3 linked regions of the Arabidopsis thaliana genome follow. The protein of the gene in region 1 interacts with the protein of each later gene in a pairwise test. Each region holds a gene or a part of one and is shown in the gene's direction. Other genes may lie near its edges.

Region 1 (12,559 bases):
AAAATATTGACATTGAAAATGTTTGCTTAAAGAATGTTTGCTTTTCTTTGTTTTGGTAAAATCTTAGAAGAGGAACAACCGCAGTTATGAAGAAATTAAATGATACAGTAAGAGGAATGAAGGATAAATGTATGGAAGAAACCCAACACAGAAATTTAATCATTAGAGCATCCCCATTGGAGTATATTATTTAAGGAATCCTTAGAATTTTTTATTATTAGATTTTGAATAAATGAAAGTTTAGAGTTTTTGTTGAATCCTTATATTTTTTGTTGTCCAATAGTGGAATCCTTGAGCGGGTTTCTTAAAAAAATAAATTCAAAAAAAAATATTATAATATTTTTTATTTTACAAAACATAATAATTATTAAAAATATTAAAATTGTAAACATACATCACATAAAAACAAAACAAACATATTAAATGAAAAACTTGAATGACGACTAGAATTAAGCTTGATTCTGACCAAATTTTTGCCATATATGTTCAACCAAATCAGCTTTTAAGTGTTCATGCTTAGTCCGATCACGAAGTCGGGTTCGAGTGACCATCATATTACCAAGATTTGAAGGCATGTCTGTAGAATATATGAAAACTACTTGTGAAGAACTAGCTGATTCAGGATGTGCGAAATCGGATACATCATACTGAGAAAACATGAGATGAAGAAGATGATCCATTGAGGTTGATCTTCGGAAAAAACAAGAAAAGAGAGAGGAGAGAAAGAACATTGAATGAAAGAAAAAAATCACCAAGAAAGAAAAAAGCAACTTGTTTTGTTTATTATGTCACCCAATTAAATTATGCCACGTCATCGCACCTTATACACCCAAAAACACCTAAAGCAAAGTGCGAACCTTGCTTAATATCACCATTCTGAATTAATTTTTGATCTTTTTTCTTTAGGTTTCTTCTAAAAAACTCACAAAGTGCTTCCAATAGACCTGCTCTTAGTATCTTTTAAAATATTTGCTACAGTGAATATGTTATATAATAGTGTTTTGAAATATTACATATTAAGAATTTAAATTTGTACAAAAATTTTATATTGAAGTATTTTGTCAAAAAGTTTTCATATAAATTTATACTTTTTATGATCATAGATGGATACAAACACATTGGGCAAGCATACAATTTTTCACTTGATACACTTACACGCATAAAATTCAATTGTTTTCTTGGAATTCATCCTCATCTTTTACTTTTAACACGAAAATACTTACATAATCTTTTTTAATACAACCATTGATGCATACCTAAAGAGAACTGTAACTAATTAAAAAAAAAATTGTAACTAATTTTGATGAAAGAATGGAAGGGATCTAGCTTTCCGATCATAAGTTTTACATCTATTACGATTTTGTTATCAATACACTAACATATAGTCGTTTTCGATGATGAAACTTTTTATAAAATGATATGGACCCACATATATAATATTACTTCTGAACTTCTAGTTGATGTAAAATTAAACGATTATTTTAAATATCTTTTACTCTCTACTTGGACCACCATTTAAAAAAGGGTTAATAGAGTGATGGGTAGTGGCCAGTGGGGATGAATTACCCTGCTAACTCATGTATAAAAAAAAATATTATACACTTATTTCTCTGAAACTTTCTTTATAAATAATTTTCATTTTGAAATTTAATAGAAATTTCATTTTTATTAATATAAACTTGATTTTTCATAAATATAAATTCTCTTATTAAGCCTTTATATTCTTGATATATCTTATTTGACTGTAACTCTAGAAACCAAACTAAGAGTCCATTTGGTTTTAAAAATACATTAGAACATTTTCTATGTTTTATTTAATTAAAATGGAAGTATCAAAATTATACATTCATTTCAATTACATTGAGTAATTTTTTTTTGTTTCCATCCTTTTTAGTTAATCGATTTTTACTATGAAGACTCGTTTTTTTTTTTTTTGATTCGTTTCTTTCGGATTCTGGATTACAATAGCATTCTATTTGAATAGTTACTGTCTCAAATCAAAATTTAAGAACTAATAAAAGAAAAATCAAATCTATAGATTGATATGTGCTAAATCGTGATAACTAAAAATTAAGACTTTATTAGTAAAAAGAGAATATATACCCTTAAACCATGTAATTAATTATACAATGTTTCACTAACTGCTACGTGCGAAATTAGGTTCCATTGATGTATATATATGAACAAGTGGAAAAACGGTATATTTCTCTACGAGAAGTATCACATCACGCCAAATAGAGCCTAAACTTCAACTCCGGTCTACATATCCATAAAATAAATGTTTTCAACCTATTTGTCCCCGAAACGTAAGTTGTACAGCTAAATCTCCCCGAATTAATACTTCGAGATCTATTAACCCATATATCTGGGTTTTAACGGTTTAATGTACAGCAATTCAGTTTTAACCATCTTAAAACAAACTTTAACCAAAACTAAACCAAAATTATCAAAAATTAACCCGAACCGGCCGACCCATTAACGATACGACTTCTTCTTCACATGGAAATCTTCTTCACCCATTAACTTTTGCCTCATGAAATCAATGATCGATCTTGGACGACGGTGGGAACGACGAAGTTTTCATGGAGCAACATGAGATTTTGTTGGTTTTTCAACAGATTTGTTATGAGATTATGGGTTTGTGTTTCTTTAGCTATGAAATTATTATTATGAGATTATGGGTTTTCAAATCTGAAATGCTTGATAGAACAAGAAGAAATTTCAAAGCTTCTCCACTATGCATCCAACGACAACTGTTCCGATTAATTGGTTAGCAAACGTAGTTATAGGGGCAGCCAAGCTTTCGTCTGAGAATCTTAGAGTTAGATTGTATGGGTAATTGGTATTCAAAGAAATAGGAAAAAATATAGCACTATTAATCTATTATATATATATATATATATCTTTATCATCGGAATTGAAGTGAATGACATTACAATTTGCAAAACATCACATAGATTGGAATCTAGCAGCTTTCATAATTGGTATTAGAAAAGACGCTCATGAATTTGAATCATTTAAGATATCTCATAGAGTTTCTAGGTTATTGGCTAATAGAAATCTTAATCATTAGTGGTTTAATCACAAAAAGAAAGTGGAATTCCAATTTTGAAAAAACCCAGAACGTGAAATAGGGTGAAGAAGAGAAGGAGAGGAAAGAAGGAGAAAGAGATTGGGTTTAGGTTTAATCAGGTTAACAAGTACTAACAAATATCTACTTATTGTTATTATATATTTAAACAGTTGGAATCGTGAAAAATAAAATAAAAATTGTGCATAATAGAATTAGAAACATTCTAAACATTAATTCTAAAATGATAATTTTTATACACAAATTATGTTTTTGTGTATTGAAATATTTGAATATCTATTATCCATCAACCATGAATTAATTAGAAAAATACAGTATACAATTACGTCGTTATGCTATTTTGAAAGTAACCAATTGGTCACTTAGAATCATAGAATGTATCACCACCACACAAAGACGCATGAGCACAAAAGCGGAAGAAGACATAAGCTCATTATTGTGAGTAGAAGGAGAAAGTGTCAAGTGATTGAAGTATTGAACATATATTAAAAAAAAATAAGAGAAAATTCTTTTTTAAAAAATGTTTGCAGAAGAGTGGGTGAAAATTTGAGTCAGAACTTAGAAGAAATGAGACCGACAAAAATCTAATTTTTTGAGTAAAACAATGAAGGAAATATGAGTCTGATGAACTCTGACACAACTTTTGTTTATTATTTGGTTGCAATGAAATAAATTGGGGTTAACGTGCAATTCAAGCAATCTCTCAGTGATAATGTATTCAACTATTCATATACTACAGTCTTCTCCACGAACTATCCACAAACATTACCATATATATAATATAATATATACACCCACCCACACATATGGACTTCTGCTCCCCCATTAAAAAAGTATCTAATCAAGTTTTCAGTTTTATATCAGTTTTTAGTTTGGACAAACAAGATTTTATAGATAGGTTACATCCATTGAAAGAGGAGTTGATTACACAAGATAATAACAAAGCCATAACAATTTTATATCGTTTTGGGTTGGGAAATAATCTATAAAAAAAACCAAATAGAAAAGCTGTTACAGTTTTGCTTAAGTTGGGCTTCTTAACAAACAAAATCTATAATATGAAAGTTTTTTTAAAGATCAGTTTATGTTTAGCTTCTTTCGGTTTATAGATGTAGATATTTTCTAGCATAAACATTAGACTAATGTGAGCTATGCCTATGAGTTTCTCGTAATTATTCGCAATTCTTTTTTTATCATCCCTTTATTAGTCTCTATATCTTCATTTCTTTCTTTCTTTCTTTTTTTTTCTCTTCATTTCACATTATATGAAGATGTTTTCTAACATAAAAACTTAAAATTACATAATCCGAATTAGATTGCTACGAGCTATGCATTTTCTTGTGATATTTCACAATTCTTTTTAGTAAAAATGTCTCATTCAGTGCTAAATCACCTCTAGGTTTTTTCCTCTTTTTTTGAATACCAATTCACCTATACGTTAGTTGTCATAAATACGTCTTTTCTAACGTTGGAGACTAATTGGAGTAGTTAAATTAAATGACTCGAACTACTACTACTATAGAGAATACTAGTTACTTAGGTATAATAACATATTATATATTTCTATCGAACTGAAAATAATTGAATAAGTTATAGTATATCCAAAAGAAAAATAGCTTTCAGAGTATCCGACACCCACGTGCAAGGGGAATGAATAAAGTCATAATAAATATTTTTCTCTTTAAGACTCCCACATTCATTCGCATCATTATCACTTTTTTTTATTCACCATTTTTTCAATGAATTGCATTATTGTATATTTACTTGAATACTTCCACACATTAGTTTACTAGGTTATGTTATAATATAACAAACACATACAGTTAATCGACAATGTGTAAGGATAAATTATTGAGCTAAATTTATTCATCAATGTATGAGTTTTTTCTGTCAGACTGTTTAATAAGATTGACTTATGATATGAATAAATGACTGATGGGTCGAAACCAGAATAAAAAGCTATTTTAATTATGATTGCACTAACTTTAACGTGTCCTTTATTTCTATAAAAGATAAAGAATAAATAATCAAGAAAAAAGTCCTTAACAGAAAAAAAAAAAAAAAGAGAAAAAGAAGTGAGAGACAGCGAAGAAAAGAAAAGCTGGTAACCTCATGGGATGTTTTGGCTTTGCTCAATTATTTCGAACTTTTGATATGATTTTGTTCCATTCCTTTTCATTAATCGGATGTGAAAGCTATCTACTTCGTTTATTGTATAAAGTGATGAAGAATTCTTACAATCTGAATGTGAAAAGTAAACAGTTCTTTGGCTATCAGGATTTGGAGCAGCGTTTAATGCGGCATGGAAACGGTGAACATCCGTGATCACTTTAAAAAAAACTATGGCATACACAAAACTTCTGTTTTAAAAATAAGCGTATAATTGGCAATGACAGAATTTAGCAAAAAATGATGATGATACAAATTAATGGTGATTGTGTGACGAAATTTGACAAATTAGTTAAGAGAATAAATGATAACAAAGATGACCGAACTAAAGATTTAGTTAATTAAAGATAACTCAAAATTATTGAATAACATGCATGCGATTTCTCTGGTTCACATATTCTTGAATAAGATTACAAAAAAAAAAAAAACTAATAGAACAAATGGATAATTAATTATCTGACGATTTAACAAGAACTATATTAATAAAGGTTATCAAAAGAATAATGTTTTGACTCGTAAAATTAAACTAGTCATATGTGAGCTATTTTGAAATATTCAAAGATTTACCTAGAATAAGAATTTATTGAGAATTATTTCACAAACTTAAGTTGTGATATTGGTTTGTTCGTCGCGTTTTTTGTTTCAACCAAATTTCACCCATTTAACCTGATTAAACTATTATATACTATAAATGTGAATTTTCTTATATTTTGGTTAACAAATTATATTATATTATATGGGTTAAAACTTGTGTAATAACGTAGCGATACCACTAACATAAAACAAAATATTAATTTTAGCTAGTGTAACAACAGTTTCAATAATATTTTCCCTTTGATGTAACTAAGCATATAATTTTAGCAACTATAACAACAGAAAATTCTATCCGAATAGCAAAAAGAATTATTGAAGTTGATGTCATTAATGTTAACACAGTCTAAATTAAAAATTATTTTCATAATTTATTATTTTTTCACTTAATGTTTTTTCCTCTTGTCCCCTATAGGCGTTAGTTACTAGTATTAATTGTCCACTCGTCGCGGAAATGTAACACACATTCCTCGCTCTCTCTCTCTCTCAAATCACTTGCAAAGACAAAGATCTTCCACTTCCTCTTCTTCTTCCTCTTCCTTTTTGCCTTTCTCTGTCTCCCTCTAGAGTCTCTTCTATATAAATATCACTAGATTTAGTGTTTGATCAAATCACATTCAACAATGGAGAACCCTCCCAATGAAACCGAGGCTAAGCAAATCCAAACCAATGAAGGCAAAAAAACAAAGGGTGGAATCATCACTATGCCTTTTATCATAGGTATAACTACATTTTCTTAAAATCTCCAATTCCATTTATTTTCTTGTAAAAATTCTTTAATTAATAATATTTGTTAATTTATTATGGTGAAGCTAACGAGGCGTTTGAGAAAGTGGCGAGTTATGGATTACTACCAAACATGATTATGTACTTAATCAGAGATTATAGATTTGGAGTAGCAAAAGGAACAAATGTGCTTTTCATGTGGTCTGCTGCATCAAATTTCACTCCTCTCTTGGGTGCTTTTCTCTCTGATTCCTATCTTGGTCGCTTCCTCACCATCTCCATTGCTTCTCTCTCCAGTTTCTTGGTAAATAATCTTCATCCTCTCTTCTCTGATTCTCCATTTACCAAACTGGTTTAACTTAACCAGTCGGTTTTTTGACACTTCTTTGATGATTATTTTTTTTGGAATTGAAATTTTGGGTTTATTTATCCGGTTTGGTGTGTGAAATACTTCTAAACCTGATGTGAAATTTTTGGTTTAGCTAGCTTTCATTAGTGTGAAATTCCACTACTTGTCATTTGACTGATAAGAATCCGTTACTGATTTCGAAAAACGGACAACTTCCTTTGAAAAAGTTCTTACCATGTATATACTTTTTCCGTTATATGATAGTATTTTATTACTGATAAGAGAAAAAGATATACTATTATCTTATATGAAAAGAATTTAATATTTTTACAACATCTAAAAATGAATTAATTGAAGGATGGTGGTACGAGGTTTTTTTCAGGTTATATTTTTATAAGAAAATTTCGAAAGTAATAATGGACCGGATTTTTTCATTTCCAACATATTCATCGTTACCATTGAATAGGTAGTTCTTTATTAATATTATATAATTTTCAGTTAGAAATATCTATTATATACTAGTATACAGTAATAATATATTGTACATTTTTAGCAATTTCACACTTTCTATGTGACTTGTGAGACATTTAGGACTCAACCTATGGAAAACATAGTTGCATTATTGGTTTCTTATGTTTGTGTTACACTAAATGTCATTTTTCAGATTAATTTCATAGCGTGCCAGTTCCATGTGTTCTGAATTTTCTACTAAAAAAACAAATAATTGCTAATTTAAAATGTCCTTGGCAAGTGGTGTGAGTGACCACAAATCGAAACCATAATTTCAGATGTGACAATATTCCATTTATAAGTATACTGCACTTCTAAAAATTGTGATTGCTTTGATTCATAAATAGTAACTTCAAATACTATATATAGACAGAGTTATAAAATTATATACAAGATATGTTTTATTTGTGACTTGTGTGTATACGCATGCATATAGGTTCAGTTTTTGGTCCGGTTAACATTCACTTCAGTTTTTCATAGAATTCCTTTGTCAGCAAGAATGATCAAGAACTTACCTGTGTTTATTTTTAATTTTGATTTACTTTCTTTTAACGAATTGTTTGAATAAACAACACCAAAACAGTTTTTATTCGAACCCAAATTTTTGTTACGATTTTTCTCGATTGAAATCTATGTAAACCGGATTGGACACAATTCTATTTCACAACGCATGACGTCTTTGAATTATTTTCGTTATGGGGCCAAGCTCGATTTTGTTTATAGGCTATATAGTATGTAGACGACACAGAGATAGGTGATAGGCTTAAGCAATTATTTTTGAACCGTGTCCATACTTTTTACAACTTGTCCGATTCTTGGGCGAAGTCGATAATGCAAATCAAATGTTTCAATTTCGTTACATGGATTGATTTGACATGTTGGTACAATTATTCATCTCAATCAAACAAAATTTAGTATAATTTTGGTAGGGTTAGTGACATATGACTTTACATTCGACCTACCAACGTGTGCTCATGTTCACGAGTTTGTTGCCGATATGAATAATGGATTTTTCTTCTTGGAAGTTTTTCTGTAATTAAGGATATAGAAACGTAGCATGTAATGTTTGTTAGTGTAACGACATGTAATGTTTTTTTAGCTTCCAGCTCAAATTAAATAGTGATTTATAGACCAAAGTAAATTAATTAATGATCATTGTTGATTCATACCACAGGGAATGGTGCTTTTATGGCTAACTGCAATGTTACCACAAGTGAAGCCATCGCCTTGCGATCCCACAGCAGCCGGAAGCCACTGTGGGTCTTCGACCGCATCTCAGCTGGCTCTTTTGTATTCCGCATTTGCCCTTATATCGATCGGGTCAGGCGGGATCAGACCATGTTCCTTAGCATTTGGAGCTGATCAACTAGACAACAAAGAGAACCCAAAAAATGAAAGAGTTCTCGAGAGTTTCTTTGGTTGGTACTACGCTTCCTCAGCTGTGGCGGTTCTCATCGCGTTCACGGGTATTGTATACATTCAGGAGCATCTCGGGTGGAAAATCGGGTTTGGAGTACCTGCGGTCCTCATGTTGATCGCTGCTTTGCTATTCATTCTTGCGTCTCCTCTCTATGTTACACGTGGTGTGACCAAGAGTCTCTTCACCGGTTTAGCTCAAGCGATTGTTGCAGCTTACAAGAAGAGGAAGCTAAGTCTACCAGATCATCATGACTCCTTTGATTGTTATTATCACATGAAAGATTCTGAAATCAAAGCTCCAAGTCAAAAGTTGAGGTAAAACTACTATATATACATGTACTTCTTAAGTCTCCTGAGTTTTGATTACTTTACAAGCAAGAAAGACCATACGCTCTTGATTAGGTTTATTGAAGAAAGCTTGCTATACAAGAAACATGATCAATGCATTTTTCTCACTTTTGATATTTACTATCATAGGTTTTGAAAAATTCTTGGTACAAGAGAAATATAATGCTCTCTCTTTACTTGGATAATATATCTTGATCAGGTTTTTTGAACAAACCCTGTGATATTGTCCTGTTTATATTTTGATTCTCTCTTGATTAAGTTCTTAAACGAGCTTTGTTAATTGTTATACAAGAGACATGATAGATTTTAATTTTCTCTTGGTTAGGTTTTTGAATAAAGCTTGTTTAATAAGTAACCGTGAGGAGGAGATTGGGTCAGATGGGTTTGCTTTGAATCCATGGAGGCTATGTACAACAGACAAAGTAGAGGAGCTTAAGGCATTGATCAAAGTCATACCCATATGGTCCACAGGTATAATGATGTCCATAAACACTAGCCAAAGTTCGTTTCAGTTACTGCAAGCGACTTCCATGGACAGGCGTCTGAGCCGCCATGGTTCAAGCTTTCAAGTTCCAGCTGGATCATTCGGTATGTTCACAATCATAGCTCTAGCCCTATGGGTCATTCTATATGACCGTGCGGTTATCCCATTAGCTTCCAAGATCCGAGGCAGACCTTTTAGACTTAGCGTTAAGCTAAGAATGGGATTAGGATTATTCATGTCATTCTTAGCAATGGCAATTTCCGCAATGGTTGAAAGCTTCAGAAGGAAAAAAGCTATAAGCCAAGGATATGCAAACAATTCAAATGCTGTGGTAGACATCTCAGCAATGTGGCTTGTGCCACAATATGTTCTACATGGTTTAGCAGAGGCTCTTACCGCAATAGGACAGACTGAGTTTTTCTACACCGAGTTTCCTAAAAGTATGTCTAGCATCGCGGCTTCTCTCTTCGGTTTAGGAATGGCTGTGGCTAGTCTATTGGCAAGCGTGGTCCTCAATGCGGTCAATGAACTAACTTCTAGAAATGGTAAAGAGAGTTGGGTTTCAGACAACATTAACAAGGGTCACTACAACTATTACTATTGGGTACTCGCGATAATGAGCTTCATCAATGTGATCTACTACGTGATATGTAGCTGGTCGTATGGTCCTTTGGTCGACCAGGTAAGGAATGGTAGGGTTAATGGTGTGAGAGAGGAAGAGGAGTTGATTGACATTGTTGGCAAAGGATTCGAGAAGGAAGATCTAAGTCCAGTTGTTAAAACCAATTAAGGAACAATAGGTCTTGCAAGCTTGTATTTTGTTTATAAAGGGAGCGATAAACTATAGGAAATGATATTTTATTGCATTGGTGTGTGGTGTTATTAAGTGTTAATTAAAGTCTATATAGATTTGTAATTAGATTGAATTATGTGTTTGGGTTTTCATTAGGGTTTTTGATGAAAAGGTAATGGTTTTTGGTTGTATACAAGCCAAAGTGTTTGTTGTATTTTTTTTTTTCGTGTTATTGCAATTCAAGGAGTCTTGTGTATATATTTTGGTTATCTTCTTTGTATATCAGACGAAGTCTAAAAAATGAAAAAACATGAATTTTTGTTTCTTTCTTATTTTGGAAGTTATTGTAATTAAAAATGTAAGCGTACCTATTTAATTCATTAGATCACAACATCTTATAAATAGCAAATTTTTATACCATACAATAAAACGGACTACTAAAATCCATGATAATCTTCACCCCTTACCAAAAAAAAACAAAATCCATGGCAATTCATAGTCATACCACTTGCATTGCTTCACCATGACACCATATCTAGAATTAGTAACGTAACATATATCATCGACACTAAAATTTGGTTTGATGATAAAGCCATTTATATGATAAGAGTCATAAGACTGATCGACATCCAAATTACATTATCTTACATACCACTTTGCATGCTTAGGACATGCTTCATGAGAGATACATTAAAGCTTGCTAACTTGATCAACACCATTGTGTTTGACATTTAGGCTAAATGGTGTCTTCAACAGGCTCATCCATAGTCTACCTGTGGCAATGAGTTCTTCTTCGTATTCTCTTCGAATCTCAATTATTGCTGAGTTTAGGTTCTCTGATCTCTTCCCTACCACTCTTGCTTCTATCTTTATTTCTTCCTAGATTTATTCACCACATTAAAATATATATACTGGGTGGAAAACGGTGCATGTTTCTATCAAATTAGATATATATACAGTATGTCCATAATAGTTCAATCAACACAAAGCAACGAAAATCAAACTTTTTTTATCCCATATATAAGAGTAAACAACTGTTCATCGAAAAAGTAGAAATAAAACGAGTTTTTTTTTGTCGTAAAAAACCTCAAGTAAGTAATTGATCAATATATATATATATATATATATATTTCTTTTTCTAACATTTTTAAACTAAATGATATTTTGTTTAAAAATTAAATCCGTAACCAAGCCGGACTGACAGACTCTATCAAACCTAACCAAAAGAAAATCAGTTATAATTTATCAAAATAATATTTTGTGAGTTTCCTTATACGTTATGAAAATGCTAGTATAATTTTAAAACTATCTGATCAAATATTAGCATAATTAAGAGGTCGAACTTGAATCTTGGCTGTCGAGTATAACGAATAGTTGAGATCAACTGAGGTATGGGATCCTCCAGCCGAGTAGATCGCGATGGCTCCCATCAACTCCATCAGAACCCCAATCGCTGCAGTGTGTAAGGTCCCGTCTTCATTCTGAATATAACCGTATAATACAATTATGGCATTCGTCAATACTATGACCAAAAACAATGTTTTGTCATCAAAGATACTTTATTACATAAATTTTTTATTTATTTTAAAATACCGTATCATGTAATAAACTGATACTAGAACATATTGCTTAAATGTCCTCGGATATTGTTTTGTTCTCCCTAGCTTATAAGAGTAATAATGCACATTGAAAAGAAAAAACATTAAAAAGGGTAGAATAAATTTACCACCAAAAGCAATTAAAACATTAAAATCATATGAAGGAAAAACATAAACACCAGCAAATGAAAAGAACACAGAAAACAAAACAAAAAACTAACAGAAAAAGGGTAGAATAAATTTACCAAAACATGATGCGTTACTGTCAATTTACACCGTACGATCCCTCTTCCAACATGGATGACTTGAAGGCCTTCGAGGATGAAACTTGGAAAGTGAGAATGGCTTTAATTAAGGCTGAAAATATATATAGAATCGAAAATATATCTTACATTCAGTTGATATTGTTATCCAACAAAACAGAAGATTCAGTTAATATATCATATAAAATTATGAATTCTAAATTTTTTGGAACATATAT
Region 2 (10,576 bases), on another chromosome or scaffold:
CTTTTCTAGTTGACAGTCTAAACCGCGGATCCAATCAATCCACGCAAGCCAAGGTACATAACTCCCCACACTAAACGTCCCCAATAGTTTATTTAGTCTCTCCATTAACTCCTTAAAATCCGTTTCACCACCGTATTTCCGTCCCAAAGCAACTTTACATATCACATCGTTAGTTAAACTCACCAAGATCTTGCTTAGATTTACCGGCAAAGAAATCGATTTCCTGATCTTTTCCATCATCAGACTGATCTCTTCTTCTCTCACTTCTCGAAAGGATCGTACCATTTTGTTGCTGAATAGATGGAGGACGCACACACTTTTCATTTGCCTCCAGTACTCTCCATAAGGAGCTGAGGCCACATCATGCTTATCGTAAAGAAGTTTCTCGAAGATTTTTGACCGTGGCCGGCTTGCGAAAACACGGTCATGCGTCTTCAAAACGTCTCTAGCCAATTCAGCTGAAGATACTACAAGAACGGGGACACGGCCAAAGTGAAGAAGCATAAGAGGACCGTACCGGTGGCTGAGAGAGCATAGTGATCGGTGAGGGTGGCGGCCGAGTTGATGAAGGTTTCCGATCAACGGTAGTCCCGGTGGTGACGGAAGTGTGTTTCTTTTCTTCCCTCTCTTCTGTTTTCTGAAAATTATGATGGTAACTACAAAGATTATTGAGCATAACAGAAAGAACATGATCATCATGTCTGGATTCTTCAAGTACATCAAAACGTGTTCTTGTGAAGAGTTTTTATTTGTGGTTTTTTTGGACTTACATATACAAGCCAAGTTTCTTCACGGTAGTACTAGTACGTAATTACTGTCCACTCAATCTTTTGGACTTATGTATTTATGCATGCACCAGTCTTTTAATGTTTAGTTCTTCGAGATTTTTCCTTGTGAAAGTCATTTGGTGCGTTTACGATTTATGTCTTATTTTGGTCGTGTCACCGTTCTAGTCTTTCGGTGCTTCCACGATGTGTCTTACCACCATACAATACAAGTGCCTAGGATAATGGTCTCAGGCTGCCGTCAGCTCTAAGGATTTATATACTCTGGGCCCAATGGGCCTTACAAAAATTTGATGATCATTGTATATAATCGGTTTTTAAACGGCTGAACCGCCAATTCATACTCATCAAAAATACAACGACAACATTGTTCAACAAACAATTCTCCATGAAAATTTAAATGTCCTAATTCGTCTCAAACATTCTGTCTCCAATATGTAAAACATTTATATTTTGAGATATAAGTAGAAGTAATAGATTATAACAAATGATCATAACATTAGTGTAGTGATTTGTGTCAGTACAAGTTTCTATTTAAAGTGTAACAACATTGAATATTTATGTTTCACCAAAAACTATGACTATTATTCTATTAATCCTGAGAGAGAGAGCAAAACCCTTTAGTGAAAAGTTTCCTTAAGTTTAAAAGAACTGAAGCTGAAGTCCAAATTGTTGTTTACACACAGTAAAATCGAATTCGTTACCATGACAAGCGGGTTCAATGGCTAAACATTTTGTAATTTACCAAACCCATTATTCGATTTGTAGGATAGTCAATTATAGGGTTCTTAGTCAGCTAAAACAGTGACTTAAGAGTTAAGAAGGGGAAAAAAAAAGTCCGAATATTTTATATTCACAACACCATGAAGTTGACTGAATAAGCAAAATAATTGATTAGAGTAACATGACAATAAATGAGAAGAAAATCAAATAAAAAACCAGATCCATGGCGCGAAAAAAGCAACGACCCACACCTTTGCCACGTGGTCTTGTCCAGTGGATCTGAGTGTCCTAAATTCGAAGATGAGAAAGAGAGAGAGTGTACAACATTCTACAGTCGACACCATTATGATCAGCAGCTGGAAAAGCTTAAGCTTGGTTTTAATGGCACAAAATCTAAATAATCGATTTATACACAAAAAGACAGCTAAGTAATGATTATTATTATTATCAGAAACTGCTTCAAAACTTGTTCTTCCTTGACTAAATTTCTCTCTTCTCTCAAGAACTCCTATCATCTGTTTTGAATTGCAAGTAACCAAGAATGCGACAAGACGAGAATAACTCCGAGGAAGAATTCGTTGAGATTGATCCCACTGGTCGCTATGGCCGGGTCTGTTCTTCTTTACTTGATTTTAGTGTTACCTTTTTCTCAATTCTAATGTTTTTGTTTCTCATGTTTTCAGTATAAAGAAGTTCTAGGCAAAGGAGCTTTCAAAGAAGTGTATCCTTTTTCTTAGATCTCTGTTATTACTACAGAGACAAATCAGATTAGATTCGGACAAGACACAGTCACTAAAGGGTTTCTTTGATCAGAGAGTTCTTCAGATACAGAGCATTTGACCAACTTGAAGGAATCGAAGTGGCTTGGAACCAAGTTAAGTTAGATGATAAATTCTGTAGCTCAGAGGATTTAGATCGTCTTTACTCTGAAGTTCACTTACTCAAAACCCTTAAACACAAAAGCATCATCAAATTCTACACTTCTTGGATCGATCACCAACACATGACTATCAATCTCATCACCGAAGTCTTCACTTCCGGAAATCTTAGACAGTCAGATTCCTCTCTCAGAAGTCAAATCAAATCTTTTTTATTTGATCAATATTATTCATGTTTGACAAACCCTTATAGGTACCGGAAGAAACATAAGTGTGTTGATCTAAGAGCATTGAAGAAATGGTCAAGGCAGATCTTAGAAGGGCTTGTTTATCTACATAGCCATGATCCTCCTGTGATCCATAGAGATCTTAAATGTGATAACATTTTCATTAATGGGAACCAAGGTGAGGTCAAAATTGGAGATCTAGGGCTAGCCGCGATTCTGCACCGCGCTCGCTCTGCTCATAGCGTCATCGGTGAGATCTTTAATCTTGTTCTCAAACGAAAAAGTTTCTCCATTGTGAAACTATAATTTTGTGTTTGAAATTGTTTAAGGAACTCCTGAATTTATGGCGCCGGAACTCTATGAAGAGGACTATAATGTACTTGTCGATATCTACGCGTTTGGAATGTGTTTGCTTGAGCTGGTAACTTTTGAATACCCGTATTCCGAATGCACAAATGCTGCTCAGATTTATAGGAAAGTTACATCGGTAAGTGATCATATTCCCATCTCATATCCAATCAAGAATGACTTTTTCCATATTGTCGATCCATTTTTCTCAATGCTTCTTAGGGAATCAAACCAGCCGCTCTTTTAAATGTGACTGATCCGCAAGTGAGAGCATTCATAGAGAAGTGTATCGCAAAGGTCTCGCAACGCTTGTCAGCCAAGGAACTACTTGATGATCCTTTTCTGAAATGCTACAAGGAAAATACCGAAAACGTCAGCTCTCACAAAGGTAATATCAGATTATGGTATTTCATTTCATCTCAATATGAAGTGTCATGGACTCCTTTCTTAAAAGTTAAAATCAATAATAGTAACATAAGATAGTTTCTATATTTTTTCTATGTGAAATTTTCTAACACCAAGTTCAATAACATTGTCACAGAAAATGGTTACAACGGAAACGGAATCGTGGATAAACTCTCGGATTCTGAGGTAGGCTTATTAACCGTAGAAGGCCAACGTAAAGACCTCAACACAATCTTCCTAAAACTACGTATCACCGATTCCAAAGGTTCAAAATCTTTTTTGCTTTTTTTATTACAAATCTTCAGATCATTACTAAATCTTCTTTTGACACAATAATAACATTTTTTATACAGGTCAAATCCGCAATATCCACTTCCCATTTAACATAGAGACAGACACATCTTTCTCAGTCGCCATCGAAATGGTCGAAGAACTAGACTTAACCGATGATCAAGACATCTCAACGATAGCTAAAATGATCGACACAGAGATACATTCACACATCCCCGATTGGACCCCTTCTCGACTTATCGGTGATGATTCAGCGGTACAAAAATGTTTGTCTTCTCCAGAGACGCTCCATTTAGATAGATTTCCTTCAGGGAGAAAATTCTGGTCCTCTCCTAAAGCTGGAGCTGGAGACTCACGTTCACCGTTTGCGCCACGGTCTAATTCTAAGTTGTCGTCAGCACAAGGACCGATCAATCAAGAAGTTGGGGTTATAGTAGAGAAACTTGAGTCTTTGTTGAGGAAACAGAGAGAGGAGATTGAAGAGATGCAGAGAGATCAAGAACGTATTGTTACTGAGTTCTTAAAAGAGTTTCCTCCTGAGATTTGTGAAGAGGCTTTGGTGAGATTGCAAGTTAAAGATTCTGATAACTTATTGTGTTAGTACGTTTTTTACATTACACACTCTCGTCAAGATTAATTTGGTTTGCAATATTATGTTGTACTAAAGGTAAGTAAATGTGTAACAAAATTGTGACAGTTATGATTGAAGGAAAACTATTTGTCAAATAATATTTCTTGAATTAGTTAGGTGAAGACGTAACTAGCTCAGAAGAGTCTGGGAGAAGAAAAGAACGCGGTGATGATAGGTCACATCACTGTGTTCTTATTCACTTGATTCTTCTGAGCTAGCCTCGTCCTCTTCACCCAACTCTTATGAACCTTACTCGTCTTCACTGGACTCACTTGCAGAGACTCTAATAAGGTTGTCTTATGATCTATGCTCGCCTCTCATAATCTTAGAAGAAGATATAGAGCGGTTCATATTTTGTTCTCTCTCGCCTATTAGGTTTAATGGGTACTGGTGTTTCTTAAATAGCGTATGCCTCAAGATAATATATTAGGGTTTCATAGATAATAAACCTAATCACCAAAACATTTGGCATAAATGGGCTAAAAGCCCAAAATTTCATAAAACTACCTTAAAACATCTTTATAGGAAAGAAAGCGTTTCAGGGAGTAAGCAAATATAAGCATATGGCAGCGTCAAGGACTCAAGGGATCCAATCAAAACTACAAAGAGCAAATAAATAATCAAAACAAAAACTGAAATAAACTAAATTCTCATACTTGTTCAGGAATTGGTTTCTGATCCGTCGAAGCATGCACTCCCTTGCTCTGCCATGAAGAAAACATTTTTCCGATCAATTCTAGGGCACCGAGAAAAGCCCTCAATTTTCATAAGAACTAAAATCGAAAAGTAATTTAAGTTAAATTGTTCTTGTTGGTAAGCGATTCCGGGACTGGACCCAAATATCTGGCATAAATGGGCTTAAAAGCCCAAGCCAGAATAAACCAACTTGAAAATATCATATCACAGCATTAAAACGCAGCGTTTCAGGAGTTAAACCCCTAAATTTTCAGGAAAATTGCATTTTTGCTTAAACCCTATTATTGTCACTTTCTCTTCCTCTCCCTCTTCCTTATTCGAAAACACACAAAATCACAGTAGTAGCATCTGTAGCCATGTACAGATCAATGGCAATCCTGTCTTCTCTTCGACACGCGTACTCACAGATCTCTACTCGATCGTATCTAAGCCGATCTAAGGTGGGTTTTTCCTCAAACTTGTCTTCGCCTCTCGATTCATTTGCAATCGTCCCTAGTCGATTTCTTTGGAAATTTCGAACCTTTTCTTCGAAACCAGATTCTATGCTTCAATTAGTGCTTGAGAATGATTGGTCTAAGGAAGTAGAGGAAGGATTGAGGAAACCTGATATGTCTTTGACACACGAGACTGCAATTTACGTTCTGAGGAAATTGGAGAAGTATCCTGAAAAAGCTTATTACTTTCTCGATTGGGTTTTGAGAGATTCAGGGCTTAGTCCAAGTACTCCACTCTATAGCATTATGTTGAGGATTTTAGTGCAGCAGAGATCAATGAAACGGTTTTGGATGACTCTGAGGGAGATGAAACAAGGAGGGTTTTATTTAGACGAGGATACTTATAAGACTATTTATGGTGAGCTTAGTAAGGAGAAATCGAAAGCTGATGCTGTGGCTGTGGCTCATTTTTATGAGAGAATGCTTAAGGAGAACGCAATGTCTGTTGTTGCTGGAGAGGTTTCTGCTGTTGTTACTAAGGGGGATTGGAGTTGTGAGGTTGAGAGGGAATTGCAGGAGATGAAGCTCGTTTTGTCGGATAATTTTGTGATTAGGGTGTTGAAAGAACTAAGGGAACATCCTTTGAAAGCTTTGGCGTTTTTCCATTGGGTTGGTGGTGGTGGTAGTTCTTCTGGTTATCAACACAGTACTGTTACTTATAACGCAGCTTTGAGGGTTTTGGCTAGGCCTAACTCGGTTGCAGAGTTTTGGAGTGTTGTTGATGAAATGAAGACTGCAGGGTATGATATGGATCTTGACACTTATATAAAGGTTTCAAGGCAGTTTCAGAAATCTAGAATGATGGCTGAGACAGTTAAGCTTTATGAATATATGATGGATGGTCCGTTCAAACCATCTATTCAAGATTGTAGTCTTTTGTTGAGGTATTTATCGGGTAGTCCCAATCCAGATTTGGATTTGGTGTTTCGGGTTTCGAGGAAATATGAATCAACAGGGAAGTCTCTCTCAAAAGCTGTTTATGATGGAATCCACAGGTCTTTAACCAGTGTAGGTAGGTTTGACGAAGCTGAGGAAATCACCAAGGCTATGAGAAATGCGGGTTATGAGCCGGATAACATCACATACAGCCAACTCGTGTTTGGTCTTTGTAAAGCTAAGAGATTAGAAGAAGCACGAGGAGTCCTTGATCAAATGGAAGCACAAGGATGCTTTCCCGACATAAAAACTTGGACTATACTGATCCAAGGGCACTGCAAAAACAATGAATTGGATAAGGCCTTGGCGTGTTTTGCGAATATGCTAGAGAAAGGGTTTGATATTGACTCTAATCTGCTTGATGTCTTGATAGATGGGTTTGTTATCCACAACAAATTCGAGGGGGCAAGCATATTCCTTATGGAGATGGTGAAAAATGCCAATGTAAAGCCTTGGCAAAGCACGTACAAACTTCTTATAGACAAGCTGCTAAAGATCAAGAAGAGTGAAGAAGCACTAGATCTTCTTCAGATGATGAAGAAGCAAAATTACCCTGCGTATGCAGAAGCTTTTGATGGATACCTTGCAAAGTTTGGGACTTTGGAAGACGCTAAGAAGTTCTTGGATGTGCTTAGCTCAAAGGATTCTCCTTCCTTTGCAGCCTACTTTCATGTCATTGAAGCTTTCTATCGAGAAGGAAGACTCACTGATGCGAAAAATCTTCTCTTCATATGTCCCCATCACTTTAAAACTCACCCTAAAATCTCCGAACTCTTTGGTGCTGCAGCTTGAGGTATTATGTCACCCAATTGTTCCGCAGAGACATGTTCATCCCATTCAGCTACAAGAATACAACCAAGAGGTCATCTACTGTTTGGAAGTCTTTCCATTCAACCTCTCTGGAATAAAACTCTACTCTCTTTGCGAATAATGTCCATTCCTCTGTTCTACGTGCTGCAGGGTAGTAAGATGATTTTGTAGGCTTTGTTGATGGAACTGAAAGATGTTGTAGGATTGTTCATAAACAGTTTGCATTTATTTATTCATTTTGCAATTGTTGAGCTTCTCTGTCTCTTTCTTGTTTTCTTCAACTCAGTATTGAATGGATATCATTATTTTCATCAGAGAATGCAATTATGGATTGAGGTCTTGATCATGTCCTGGTAGAATCTTTCTCTTTGCTTTCATCTTTATTGAGGATCATTGTTGGAAGTATTAGACGACATGAAAAGTCAGAAAACTCTTATCCGAATATTAACCTCCAGACCTGTCTGCTTTGGCCATGTGAGGTTTGTTCCAGAAGTCTGTTAAGCTTACGTGTTCCTTCTTCACACATGCGGCTGTCTCTGATTGAAGTAGCTGAATGAAGAGAGAGCTCACAAAGAGACATCATACTATAAAATGTCACTTCAATCAATGTATTTAATTATCAGCCAAGTGTTTTGGTCTCTAGACTTTTTTTTCTTGTTGCTTTTGATACATCAACTTCTCTTTGTTTCTTATACCATACGTTGCAAAGACAAGTCATGAAAATTGTACAACGGTTTTTGAAACAATTAAGGTCTTAGTTTCTACCTAAAAAAACATTAAGGTCTTAATAATGTTCGTTAGTGTTTTATCATTATATGGACGGATCAGGTTTACACTTTGAAAATAGGGTTTTGATTTGAACCAATCTTCATCAAACCGAGCCGGATCGAAACTGGTTAAGCCCTATGACAGCATTTTACCGTAAACTAACAAAACAGAGATGGATATTCTGGATGAAAAAGCAATTCAGGATTAAGAAAAAGATGCAAAGGAATAAACTTTTGACATGGAAACTGTCTATTGATGCTTAGGTTTTTCGGTCACGTATCTAATCTTGTGTGTTATAGTGATAGTGATGCTGACATTTAACCATTCACCAAAGTTAGAGAAGTGTCCACTTGCCCTACATTTTCTATTTTTCCAAATTTTTACTTGTAAAGGTTAGAAGATCGATTGGCTCAGTGACACAGTGACATGATTAAGACATTTGCTTCAATTAGATCCAACGATGTCGAGTAAATCAAATTTGTTGAGAAATGGTCAAATCAAATTTTAACATATTGTTAACAAAATAAAATTTTGATTAATTCTTCTTCAGAAAACAGTCTCCCTCAGTGTTTATGCATTCATATTGTTAAGATCTTAATTGCGTTCTTACGATCTTTGGTCACTTGACAATCTATCAAAAAAAAAAAAATTTATTTTTTTTTGTCTATGAGTGTGGGATTTAATAATTAATAGTTTTTGGGATCTATATATAATTCCCTGTTTTTTTTTGTTCTTTTTCTTGGGAAAATAAAAACTTAGTTGGATATATGTCATCCTGACTAGACCCATAAAATAAGACAAAATAAAATAAAATAATGTACAATATAAATCTATATAATATACAAACAAAAACAAAATGAAAGTTTAGCAAAATACAAAAACAATGAATGGAGAGCAAAACCTCTGCTGAGGAAACAAAATAAGAAACTCTAACAGAGGTACACGTGTGAGGATACACATCCACTGATCCCCACAATACACACGTGTACTCGCATCTGACTACGACACGTTTCACGTCTGGAACAGTCGCAACATACCACGTATTGAATAAAACTGACGTCGTACGTTGCCCACATATCTTAACGGCAAAGTTAACGGTTAATAACCGCCGGGAAAATATTCCGTCAACTTCTCCGTTTGTTCACCGACCACAAAATTTCACTAATTTTCATAATTCCTTCTCTTCACATACAACAACACATCATAAAACCCTAGATTTCATTTTTTCACATTTATTTTTTCTAAGCCATTTTTATTTCTCCGTCTGACGTTATTGCCAGATAAGCTTGGAGTCTCTGTTTGGAACACGGCAGTTACAGCAACGAGAGTATTCTCCAGTTCTCATACGGAATCTACTGAGAAGATTCTCCGTCGGCGGAGCCACACAATACCGAGGCGGAGATGGAGAAGCCACGACGGAGAACGGCGATTTCGGCGATAGATCTCCACCGCCGCCGCTAGATCGTGGTGACATCTGCTTAGGAGGCGACAAAATCGCACGGATCTTGCCTCCGTAAACACGATCATATTCTTCAACGATATTCACCAGATCTTCGTCCGATTTGACGGAGATTAGTGTCTCGAGATCTCCATTTGGTAATTGACACTTCAATTCAACGGAGTATCCACAAAATTCCTCCAACTTCATCGTCAATTCTGAAGGAGAAGTAGAAAAATCAATTTCGATGAATTGGAAAAGTTAGATGAAATTGGAATGGGGGGAAAAAGATTGAAACGGACCTGTGAAAGAGATAGAGTGATGAACGGAGAGTACTCTGGTGAAACCGCCGACGTAACGGAGCTTTCCATCGATAGAACGAGGGAGGATTCTTCCGCCGTAACTGCAGAGGAACTTGAGACTGTTCTTCGTTTTCTGATTCTCAGCTACGGCCACCATTGTTAGAAGCTTCTAGGTTTCAAAATTTTCTGTGTCTTTTTTGCCTTTTGGTTTCTTTTTCTCTTAAACCGAGAATTCTGGGGGACGAGTGGAACTTATTTATAGGTAGGAAATGACGTCATTGTTGGACAGGGAAATGAAAATATTCGTTCCTTTGTTGGACATCACAAGGCTGTTTTGGACAATTTTGTTATTAATAACCCAATACTCTTTTAATTCTCCTCGCATTACGCAAAGAAATCGAGTTTTGTGTATTTTTGAAGTTAAGTGGCTCATATTTATTGGCTGTAATTAATTATGTATTAATGTCGTCGATTCATTGATACACTTTCTCGAAACCAAATCTTTTCATGTAAATTTAGTCCCGGCTCAAACAATCGAGAAGCCTTACGGCAACTTACAAAAAGGAGTTTTTTCAAGCATGCTAAAACAAAAACCATTTCATATAATCATGTTTTAAGTTCTATATCTTCATTTATCAATACCACATTACTTTAAATTGCTTCATATCTTATGCATCCTCTTCTATTGGATCTAAAACAACAAAATAAAACACAATAGTTAATTTGAAATAAAGAAACGCTTTTGACGAACTCTAGTCAACGCAAAGTCATGAATGACAGTGTCAAAGTCTATGCTTTCTAACTAACTGATATAAGATCCAAGTAGATGACCACACGATACTCT
Region 3 (9,783 bases), on another chromosome or scaffold:
AGTAGTGAAGAGGTTTATGGATAGAGAGAGTGAAGAAGGGAAAGAGATGAGAAGAAGGGCTTGTGACCTTAGTGAAATCAGTCGAGGAGCTGTTGCGAAAAGCGGTTCGTCTAATGTAAACATCGATGAGTTCGTTCGGCATATTACCAATACAAATTAAGGCTCAAAGAGGTTTTATTGTTTCAATACAATGTAAGGCTCAATGGCATGCTCACTAAATCATATGTATCTTTTGAATGACTAAAAAGTAAAAACCACCACCAAATTATAGCTAAATCAATTTCTTACCATATGTCAAAAATTTATAGAAATTCTAATGGTGGGAAAGCTCCCCGCTTATGCATTATGCATCATCATTTTGCTTGCTTATAATCTAAAATGATGCTTTCTCATTAATCAAACCCCAAGACGTCACAAAATACCCAAAACACATCAAAAATACAAGGAAAAGAAAAAGAGAACAAAATTGAAGCAAAACTTAAAACGGGATTTATTATGAGGCCTATCTCTACAATTCACGAAATGATCATACATCTTATTTTTTTGGTAGGTGAGAATAGACAATTGTCTCTCGCAATTTATTAAACTGCAACTAAAAAGAATATTACAACCGAACATGACCTGAGAACTCTGCCTCTAACATAATCGAGTGGACTACATTAGGAGAAGAGTCCAATGAATGAAATTAAACCTAACAGCACTGAAGAAAACACATTGTTATCAAAAAATTTACAACTATGTAGATTTTTTTTGTCAACTAGATTGTTATTCTGTTAGTTATAAACAGAATGATAACAATCTCCCTAATTTGTCTTAATTAAAAAAAAAAAAAAAATTAGCCATGTGTTGTTTTCTTAAACAGTCTGTTTCTTGGGATTAGGTTTTGTTTCTTTAAAAAGCACACCGGTCACTTGAGTGTCTAAAAACGTTATAAAAAACAACAAATGTGATAATCAGCAAAAACAGCTTGAAAGAGAAGTAGACACAATCATTAACATTATGGGTAATGGCCTAAACAATTGGACCACGTTTGTTGTAAAAGCTATCCTCTGCACTCTGCAGCTTTCTCAGTCCTCACTTCTCTCACCCACAAAGTCACAGTAACCAGAAACACGTTCCACATCCTATGAATCCAATCAAACCTCAGCCACTCGGAGTCCGCCACGTGGTGGCCATGCCTTGGCCAGGAAGAGGCCACATCAACCCAATGTTAAACCTCTGCAAAAGCCTCGTCCGGCGAGACCCAAACCTCACCGTCACATTCGTCGTCACCGAAGAATGGCTCGGGTTCATCGGGTCCGACCCGAAACCTAACCGGATCCATTTCGCCACTCTCCCCAACATCATTCCCTCCGAGCTCGTCCGAGCCAACGACTTCATCGCCTTCATCGACGCCGTCCTCACCAGATTAGAAGAGCCGTTCGAACAGCTACTTGACCGTCTAAACTCTCCTCCCACCGCAATCATCGCCGATACTTACATCATTTGGGCAGTACGTGTAGGCACAAAAAGGAATATTCCGGTGGCTTCTTTCTGGACTACGTCAGCCACGATTCTCTCCCTCTTCATTAACTCCGATCTTCTCGCAAGTCACGGCCATTTTCCGATCGAACCATCAGGTAGTTACAAAGTTCCCATTTTTACTGATCAAAACCGTAAAGTTCAATACTTTCATCCATAATTAGTGATTTCTGAATCCGGGTTTGTTTCCAGAATCAAAACTAGACGAGATTGTTGATTACATCCCCGGTTTATCTCCGACAAGACTCAGTGACTTACAGATCTTACACGGCTATAGTCATCAAGTCTTCAATATATTCAAAAAGTCTTTCGGTGAGCTTTATAAAGCTAAGTATCTTCTCTTCCCTTCTGCTTATGAGCTCGAACCAAAAGCCATTGACTTTTTCACTTCCAAGTTTGATTTCCCGGTTTACTCCACTGGTCCGTTAATACCCTTGGAAGAACTATCCGTTGGAAATGAGAATAGAGAACTTGATTACTTTAAGTGGCTTGATGAGCAACCTGAAAGCTCTGTTCTTTACATATCTCAAGGGAGTTTTCTTTCAGTCTCCGAAGCTCAGATGGAGGAGATTGTTGTAGGAGTTAGAGAGGCTGGAGTTAAGTTCTTTTGGGTGGCTCGTGGGGGTGAGTTAAAGCTTAAGGAGGCTCTTGAAGGTAGCTTGGGTGTTGTGGTGAGCTGGTGTGATCAGCTACGTGTTTTGTGTCATGCGGCTATAGGCGGGTTTTGGACGCATTGCGGGTATAACTCGACATTGGAAGGGATATGTTCGGGAGTACCGTTGCTTACATTTCCTGTTTTTTGGGATCAGTTTCTGAATGCTAAGATGATTGTTGAGGAGTGGAGAGTTGGAATGGGGATCGAGAGGAAGAAGCAGATGGAGTTGTTGATAGTGAGTGATGAGATCAAGGAATTGGTAAAAAGGTTTATGGATGGAGAGAGTGAAGAAGGGAAAGAGATGAGAAGAAGGACTTGTGATCTCAGTGAGATATGTCGTGGAGCGGTTGCGAAAGGTGGTTCTTCTGATGCTAACATCGATGCTTTCATTAAAGATATTACTAAGATCGTGTGAGTTCTATTGTTGTTAATGATTCAAGTCTATATTAGTATTTGTATAAGTTTGTTAAAGATTCAAACTTTGTAGAGATTTAAGATTGTTTGTAAAACTGTTATTTATAAGTTCATTTGTTAGACTCTTTGGTAGAGCTTAATCTCGTGTGTGCCTAATTTTTGTTTGACTTTGGAAATGAATTGTGAGGAGACAAATATAGAAAATAATTTATGAAATGAATTGATTTTGGTAAAGCTTACTGGCTGATTGGTTACACTATAGCTGTAGATTATTTGCTGTAGAATATTGGATGTAAGTGTAAGCTGTAGCTGTAGATTTGTAAAGATTTTATTCAGTTTGTTAGAGAAAATACTCCAATTCTGCATAAAATTCTAAAATCTGATCTTAATAGGAATGATTTTCACACATCTCATGTTTTATCTACCAATATTTTAACATATTTTGCAGTAAATTTAATATTTTACTTGATATCTAATGCTTTAGGACAATTTTTTTTTTACTTTATTTTTGATTTGAGTTCTTCGTTTTTAAGAATTATCGGTTTATAAATAACTAGATTCTGACCCGCACGTATACGTGCGGGGTTTCATATTTTTAAAAATGTATTGGAATATATTTTTAGTGAAAGATATTATAGTGTATAAATTATAATATGCATAAAAAGTGTAAAGTGTTATTTATGATAAAATAGCTATTTTTTGTAATTTATATTATTTATATTTTATTTGTATTTTGCATAGTAAATAGATTGTTAGATTTGTTTCGATTTGTAGAATAATATAGAGATATTTAGAAAATTTGTGTATTTTTGTTAGTTTGATGTATATATAAATTGATTGTTTTTGTTTGAAATTTGATCAATTAGATGATATAATGTAAAATTTTCTCCGTGGTACACCTTTGGTCGATTTTTTTGTAACTAAAAATTCAAATTTTAAGATATAGTTATTTTGTAAATATTGTTTATTTTGTTTAATGTTTAAGAATATATAATTATGTTATAATTATTAATTCTAAAATTTCACTCGTAGATTATCGTCCTTTATTAATATCAACTCAAACTCATCCCACCATATAATTTCATTCCGTAAAATGAAAAATTATTTTGTTATTTTAAATATTGTTATTGTAATATAATAAAAAAATCGAGGGATTGACATGTGGTACATCTTGGATTAATATATTTAAAAATAATTTGTATATTTAAAAATCGAGGGATTGGGTAATTATGAATATATTGATTTTAAAGTCGATTTTTTAAAAGAACAAAATCCAAGATATTTATTTTGTTGTAGTGATTGTTAATTTACTAAACTACCCATGCAAAAATTCATTTACTTAATTTTAAACTACCCTTACAATGTTGTAGTTCATACAATACTTCTCAATTAATAATATAGATAACACTTATTAGTTTTCAAGGGATAAATTTTTTTCCACTTGTGTACATTTAAATTCTACCAAAGTTTTAAAAATTTACGATGACAAAAAAATAATATTCGTATTCATAATATAAACATAATCTAATAAGTTTTTTTGGTTAGGTTCATATCGCTTAAATTAAAGTACGATTTAAAAAAAAAAAAAAAGTAAAAAAGTACGTTTTTGTTTTGGTAAAAAACACTAAAGAGGCAAAAACGTAAAAAGGCAAAAAATATATTTTTACTTGGGGAAAAAGATGTTAAAGCCCACAAGACAAGGCAGAGGTTTCTCCCATGCTTTGTCTTTAGTTTAACCGCCGCATCCTCTCTCTCTGGTCGGAGAAATCTCCAGATTTGGTCATTTCTCCAATCTTCTCGGAACCCTAATTTAACCAAACCTCTCCTCCTTCAGATTCATCTTCCTCCTAATCTCCCTAAAAGCTCAAACCTTTCTCTCAATCAATTCTAAACAATGGCAACAGAAGCAACAACCAAATTCCCAGAATCCGATCTCCGTCCAATCCCACAACCACCGGATTTTCATCCAGCAATCATCGTTCCAGCTCAAAACACAACTCTTAAATTCTGGCAACTAATGGTCGCCGGTTCAATCGCTGGCTCAGTCGAACACATGGCTATGTTTCCAGTAGATACAGTCAAAACCCATATGCAAGCTCTTCGTTCATGTCCGATTAAACCAATCGGAATCCGTCAAGCTTTCCGTTCAATTATCAAAACCGATGGACCTTCTGCTTTATATAGAGGTATTTGGGCTATGGGACTTGGTGCTGGACCAGCTCACGCTGTTTATTTCTCATTCTATGAAGTCTCTAAGAAGTTTTTATCCGGTGGAAACCCTAATAACTCTGCTGCACACGCTATTTCCGGTGTTTTCGCTACTATATCTAGTGATGCTGTGTTTACTCCAATGGATATGGTTAAGCAAAGGTTGCAAATTGGGAATGGAACTTATAAAGGAGTTTGGGATTGTATCAAGAGAGTAACGCGTGAGGAAGGGTTTGGTGCTTTTTACGCTTCGTATAGAACTACTGTGTTGATGAATGCTCCGTTTACCGCTGTGCATTTCACTACTTATGAGGCGGTTAAGAGAGGTTTGAGGGAGATGTTGCCTGAGCATGCTGTTGGAGCAGAGGATGAGGAAGGTTGGTTGATTTATGCTACTGCTGGAGCTGCGGCTGGTGGGTTAGCGGCTGCTGTAACTACTCCGCTTGATGTTGTTAAGACGCAGTTGCAATGTCAGGTGATTGAAATATCTCTAAAGCTACTGACTTTTAAGTATCTGATAGCTAATGTGGTTATAGATTGGCCAAGCTACTTTAAGTAGTTGTCTCTTGATCCTATAGATCACTTGAATGAAGAAAGATATCTTCTTTCTTCTCTTTGGATATTTTGTGATTTCACGAGTATGATTTTATAGGTAACATGTAGATTGCATCAAGCATTGTTAGAACTATGGTCATAAAACTTAATATTACTGAATTTACATGTGAAAGTCGCATAGATAATGTTTCTATATTTGTGGTTTAGAATACTTGGTCAATAGCTATTTCATAGGATTTGGGTTGTTTTGTTTGTTCTGAGAAGTTTGTTTGTGGTGATGTTTCAGGGTGTGTGTGGTTGTGACCGTTTCAAGAGCAGTTCAATAAGCGATGTGTTCCGTACAATAGTGAAGAAAGACGGTTATAGAGGACTTGCTAGAGGATGGCTACCAAGAATGCTCTTCCATGCTCCAGCAGCTGCGATTTGCTGGTCCACTTATGAAACAGTCAAATCTTTCTTTCAAGATCTCAATGGTGAAGCAAACGCAGCTTGAAAAGACACAAACATACATGCGTTTGGCATAATTTACTTGCCTGATTCAGGTCATTGATTCTTCATAGAGCTAGCTACTGGTTGGTTAGTATTAACACTAGCTCTTAGAGAAGATCTCTGTTTGTATAATTTATTTGTTTTCTTCACGCAATAATGTTATCAGATTAGAGTTACAACAACCCCAAGGCCTTTTTTCTGGTTTGCATTGATAGAGAAATTTTGTACTTTTATTTGTTTTAATGAGAAAGATACTATAAAGAGATAGATGAGCTTAAAGAGTGTCCATTCACAAGGTCAATGATAAAGATTCGATTCTTATTGTTTGAACTTTGAAATACCATTTATCAATTTCTGTGAAGAACAAGTTTCTTACAAGGACTTGTACAAAAAGAATAAAGAGAAGATCTTATCATGAACAGAGTGATTCATGAGCTAACAACTTTGGCAACGATCACAGTGACATCATCAAGCTTCCCTCCTGCAATTTTCAGAACCAGAGATCTCAACTAAGAAACTACTCTTGTTTAGTATAATATGTCAGGATAATGCATCAACATTGTTGTTTATTTACCTGTAAGCTTCTTTCCTAGTACCTTCTTCCAGAGAGGAACATCAAACCCCTGCACATATACGTTGATTCAGATATACTTTGCGTGAACTGGTAAAATTCATTCTTAGATCAAGTTAAAAATCTTACCTTGGCTCTTGCTTCTAATGCATATGGAGACTCAAACTCTGTATCTCTTGAATGGCTACTCGCCACTTCAGCTAATAACCTTGCTGTAATGGTTATACCAAAAAACATGTAACTTACTAAAAATCAAGAGAGATGGTATATACATATACATACATGACTCTGCAACATCTGTATGCTTGGTCACTATAGAAACGATCTCATGATCAAACACATTATCGAAAAGTCCGTCTGAACCCATCACGATCACGTCTCCCTTCTGTACTTCCACTATGCTAAACTGCTTGAAATGCAAAAAAAATGATACAAAGGTACAATACTAGCACAAATCATGAAGAGTGGTAAGGATTTATTTACCGATGCATCTAGATAAGTTTGAGCAGACCCCTCAGAGCTTAGTTGGTAAGGACAGTCAAAATAGTGCTCTTGTGGAGCAGTGGCAAAAATAATCTGACCTGAAAATGAGAATGAAAGAAGAAGATCTTTGTCAAAGGCTGAACATGAAAACAATCTAGCATCTTAGGTTACAGTGTAGTACCTTCCCGAAGAAGCTTAAGTCCACAGTCACCAACATTGCCTATTTTGAGAATACCCACTTCCTCAAGCATAGCTAGAATACTGCTTTCATCAATAACCGGGACATCAAGCTATCCAAAAAGGGAACAAAAACCAATCTTTGAAGAGAATAACAATCAAATCTCACTCACATTGTGGCAGAACCTCTAGAAGTAGTTGCGGTATGAGCTTTGTCAATGAGAAAACCAGGATCATATCTGACCTCTTGGTCATCAACTAAACGAGAAGCGTTAGCCATAAGTTCTTTAGAGAACAAGGAAGGATCAACATCTTGTTCAGCCCAACTGAGACAGAAAAAAATATAAACTTTATCAACATTAAGATAAACCCACAAAGAAACTCAAAAGTTAGCATAACCAAAAGCTAAAGCTTACCCGGAGACACCATCTGCAACAGCCATGACTCCACCTCTATAACTACTTACAAAGAAAGCATCTTCACCACCTTTCTCTACCTATATAATTTCGACACTAGATGTCGATTTTAATTGCATAAATATTCTCTAAGCAAATCCAAATTCATTACATCCAAAGAAGAAAAACAGAGACTTTGGTCTGGTGTTACCTTATCTGGATGAGGGATTGCGTGAATTCCGACAGATAAAGAGAGTTCAGGCCTAAAGGAAAATGCAAACATATTTTGACAAATGAGTTCTCAGTTTCGAACAACGTAAACTCGAAATAGTACAAGAGAGAGCAGAGACCGAAGTGGTTGGATTTCTGATGGAGCACAGCGACAGAGGAAGTCAACGCGACTAGGGTTTGGATGTGAGAGACGAAGCGATGGTATTGCGTGAGGAACCATCATTCTCGTCACTGGAATCGCCATTTCCTGCAATGGCTTGCTCTCTCGTTCTCTTTCAATCCTGTGGTGGTGCGTACTTTGTGTGTGAAGGTTGTTTAATTTTAGAGATAATTATTAACTAGAAGAGATAGAATCAATAAGCACCAGTGGTCTAGTGGTAGAATAGTACCCTGCCACGGTACAGACCCGGGTTCGATTCCCGGCTGGTGCACTAAGCTATGATGATATTGGCTTAAGCATTGGGTGGGTCCTTTGCATTTTTCTGAATTATCAGTTGAGATATGCCACACCTCTGAGCTCTTTTTTTTTTCCCTTATGTAAACTAAATTTTTCAAGTAACATTTTTTGTATTATCACTCAATTTCTCTTACTATATTCCATACTATTTCTGTTCTTGAAATAAAGCATCTCGGCCAAAAAAAGGTAAAACCAACGTTTCTAATTAATTTTCTTACATCCAAATCACTCGATCATTTATGTGACATACTCAAAGAAAGATAAGTTTTTTCGCATCCAAAAAATTGATATTGTCAATAATATTCAATAAATGATCCATGAATTTGGATGAAAATCTTCAACTCTTATAAAAACTCTTAACACTTCAAATAGGTCTCTTAAGGAAATTTACTCTAATTCTTTTAATTAACAATTGTTTCTATATTTTGTTTTATAGCTTTTTTATTATTTAATTATTGAAAGTCCTTGTTTTAATTGTAAGAACTCATGAGTTTGTCCATTTAAAATACCACAAAGCTCAACACGTAACTCATATTCTTATAATTATATTATTTAGAATAAACTAAATGTAACTCATAAAAAACCATGGTCTACCAACTTATTGGGTATAGAACTAGTTTCAGTGGAGAGTGTCCGAGTCAAAATGAGAATCCCAAAAGAAGAATGCTACAAAGTAAGTTGTTTAAAATATAACATGAACCCAACTTCCACCGGTTAGTAACGTTCATGTTTGTCACTGTCCATTTTATGAACTTCTCATTGGAACTGTAACTATATTCCTGAAAGTCATAAGAGAAAGATCAAGTACTTAATTTACAATAGATGATACAACACATATACATGTTGAAACATTTGAAAAACAAGAATTTTGACATGTATAAACTGATTCATCTTGTATCATTAGGAACTGGGTAAAATCACCATCCAATAAATACCCGCTAAGATCAAAACCATAAACCATGATTAGCATAGCATAAAACCTTCAACCAGATCACTCGACTTCAAATAACATACAATTAACTAAACTTACGTAGTTGAAACAACAAGCACCAGTGGTCTAGTGGTAGAATAGTACCCTGCCACGGTACAGACCCGGGTTCGATTCCCGGCTGGTGCATCTAGTAGCATGTGAGCAGTGATGAAAATATCTTGAGCTGTGGTGATGAATCTTCGGATATGATATTAACCTCGCTATAATCTGAGCTCACTCATTTCTTTTACTTTTTTTTTTGATTGAGCAGCAAAACCCAAAAACTAGTAACACAAATTTGAGATTTTGTCACTTCACTTCAACTGAAACTAAAAAGATATCTCAATACATATATCCTGTAAAGTGTCACATAAATATTCCATACAAAACTTTGAATTCCAAACTATTGAAGCACTAGAGAGATCCACAGACATACGTTGTAAATTTACTTATTATCAATGATTCTCAACTCAAATACATGTGAACAAAAAGCTAGCAATACTCTCAAGCACTGATGTTTTCGAAACTTGCGCTTTTATCTACTCTCTTGAATATCCCTGCAATTACCTGGTGTTTGAATGCCACAAAACACACAACTTAGAAGAAGAAGAAGAAACCTCCATCTATAATGAGTTTACGAAGATAGAAAAATACCTT

Evidence for each region.
Region 2: the proteins of AT1G52190 (region 1) and WNK3 interact in a protein complementation assay, tested with the Arabidopsis thaliana proteins (one large-scale study listed by BioGRID).
Region 3: the proteins of AT1G52190 (region 1) and AT2G30160 interact in a protein complementation assay, tested with the Arabidopsis thaliana proteins (one large-scale study listed by BioGRID).

What each region holds. Positions count from the first base shown.
Region 1 is NC_003070.9:19,428,197-19,440,755, forward strand, and holds AT1G52190 (Major facilitator superfamily protein), read left to right. Parts: upstream 1-6,283; 5' UTR 6,284-6,474; coding exon 6,475-6,571; intron 6,572-6,663; coding exon 6,664-6,881; intron 6,882-8,610; coding exon 8,611-9,170; intron 9,171-9,528; coding exon 9,529-10,477; 3' UTR 10,478-10,835; downstream 10,836-12,559. Other genes in the region: AT1G52191 (Thioesterase superfamily protein), read right to left, coding at 11,171-11,359, 11,824-11,961, 12,324-12,405. UniProt on the Arabidopsis thaliana protein: Low-affinity nitrate transporter involved in xylem-to-phloem transfer for redistributing nitrate into developing leaves. Not involved in dipeptides transport.
Region 2 is NC_003074.8:17,866,694-17,877,269, reverse strand, and holds WNK3 (with no lysine (K) kinase 3), read left to right. Parts: upstream 1-1,739; 5' UTR 1,740-2,049; coding exon 2,050-2,118; intron 2,119-2,191; coding exon 2,192-2,229; exon of another isoform or gene 2,230-2,333; coding exon 2,334-2,561; intron 2,562-2,639; coding exon 2,640-2,863; intron 2,864-2,942; coding exon 2,943-3,100; intron 3,101-3,183; coding exon 3,184-3,349; intron 3,350-3,502; coding exon 3,503-3,631; intron 3,632-3,719; coding exon 3,720-4,258; 3' UTR 4,259-4,450; downstream 4,451-10,576. Other genes in the region: CYP71A26 (cytochrome P450, family 71, subfamily A, polypeptide 26), read right to left, coding at 1-699; BIR6 (Pentatricopeptide repeat (PPR) superfamily protein), read left to right, coding at 5,341-7,206; AT3G48240 (Octicosapeptide/Phox/Bem1p family protein), read right to left, coding at 9,263-9,648, 9,733-9,889. UniProt on the Arabidopsis thaliana protein: May regulate flowering time by modulating the photoperiod pathway.
Region 3 is NC_003071.7:12,873,532-12,883,314, forward strand, and holds AT2G30160 (Mitochondrial substrate carrier family protein), read left to right. Parts: upstream 1-4,267; 5' UTR 4,268-4,484; coding exon 4,485-5,273; intron 5,274-5,639; coding exon 5,640-5,846; 3' UTR 5,847-6,130; downstream 6,131-9,783. Other genes in the region: UGT87A2 (UDP-Glycosyltransferase superfamily protein), read left to right, coding at 1-160; AT2G30150 (UDP-Glycosyltransferase superfamily protein), read left to right, coding at 1,127-1,619, 1,714-2,591; PBCP (Protein phosphatase 2C family protein), read right to left, coding at 6,271-6,323, 6,417-6,465, 6,543-6,625, 6,696-6,819, 6,897-6,994, 7,078-7,157, 7,247-7,399, 7,490-7,569 and 2 more; EMB3147 (EMBRYO DEFECTIVE 3147), read right to left, coding at 9,631-9,693, 9,781-9,783.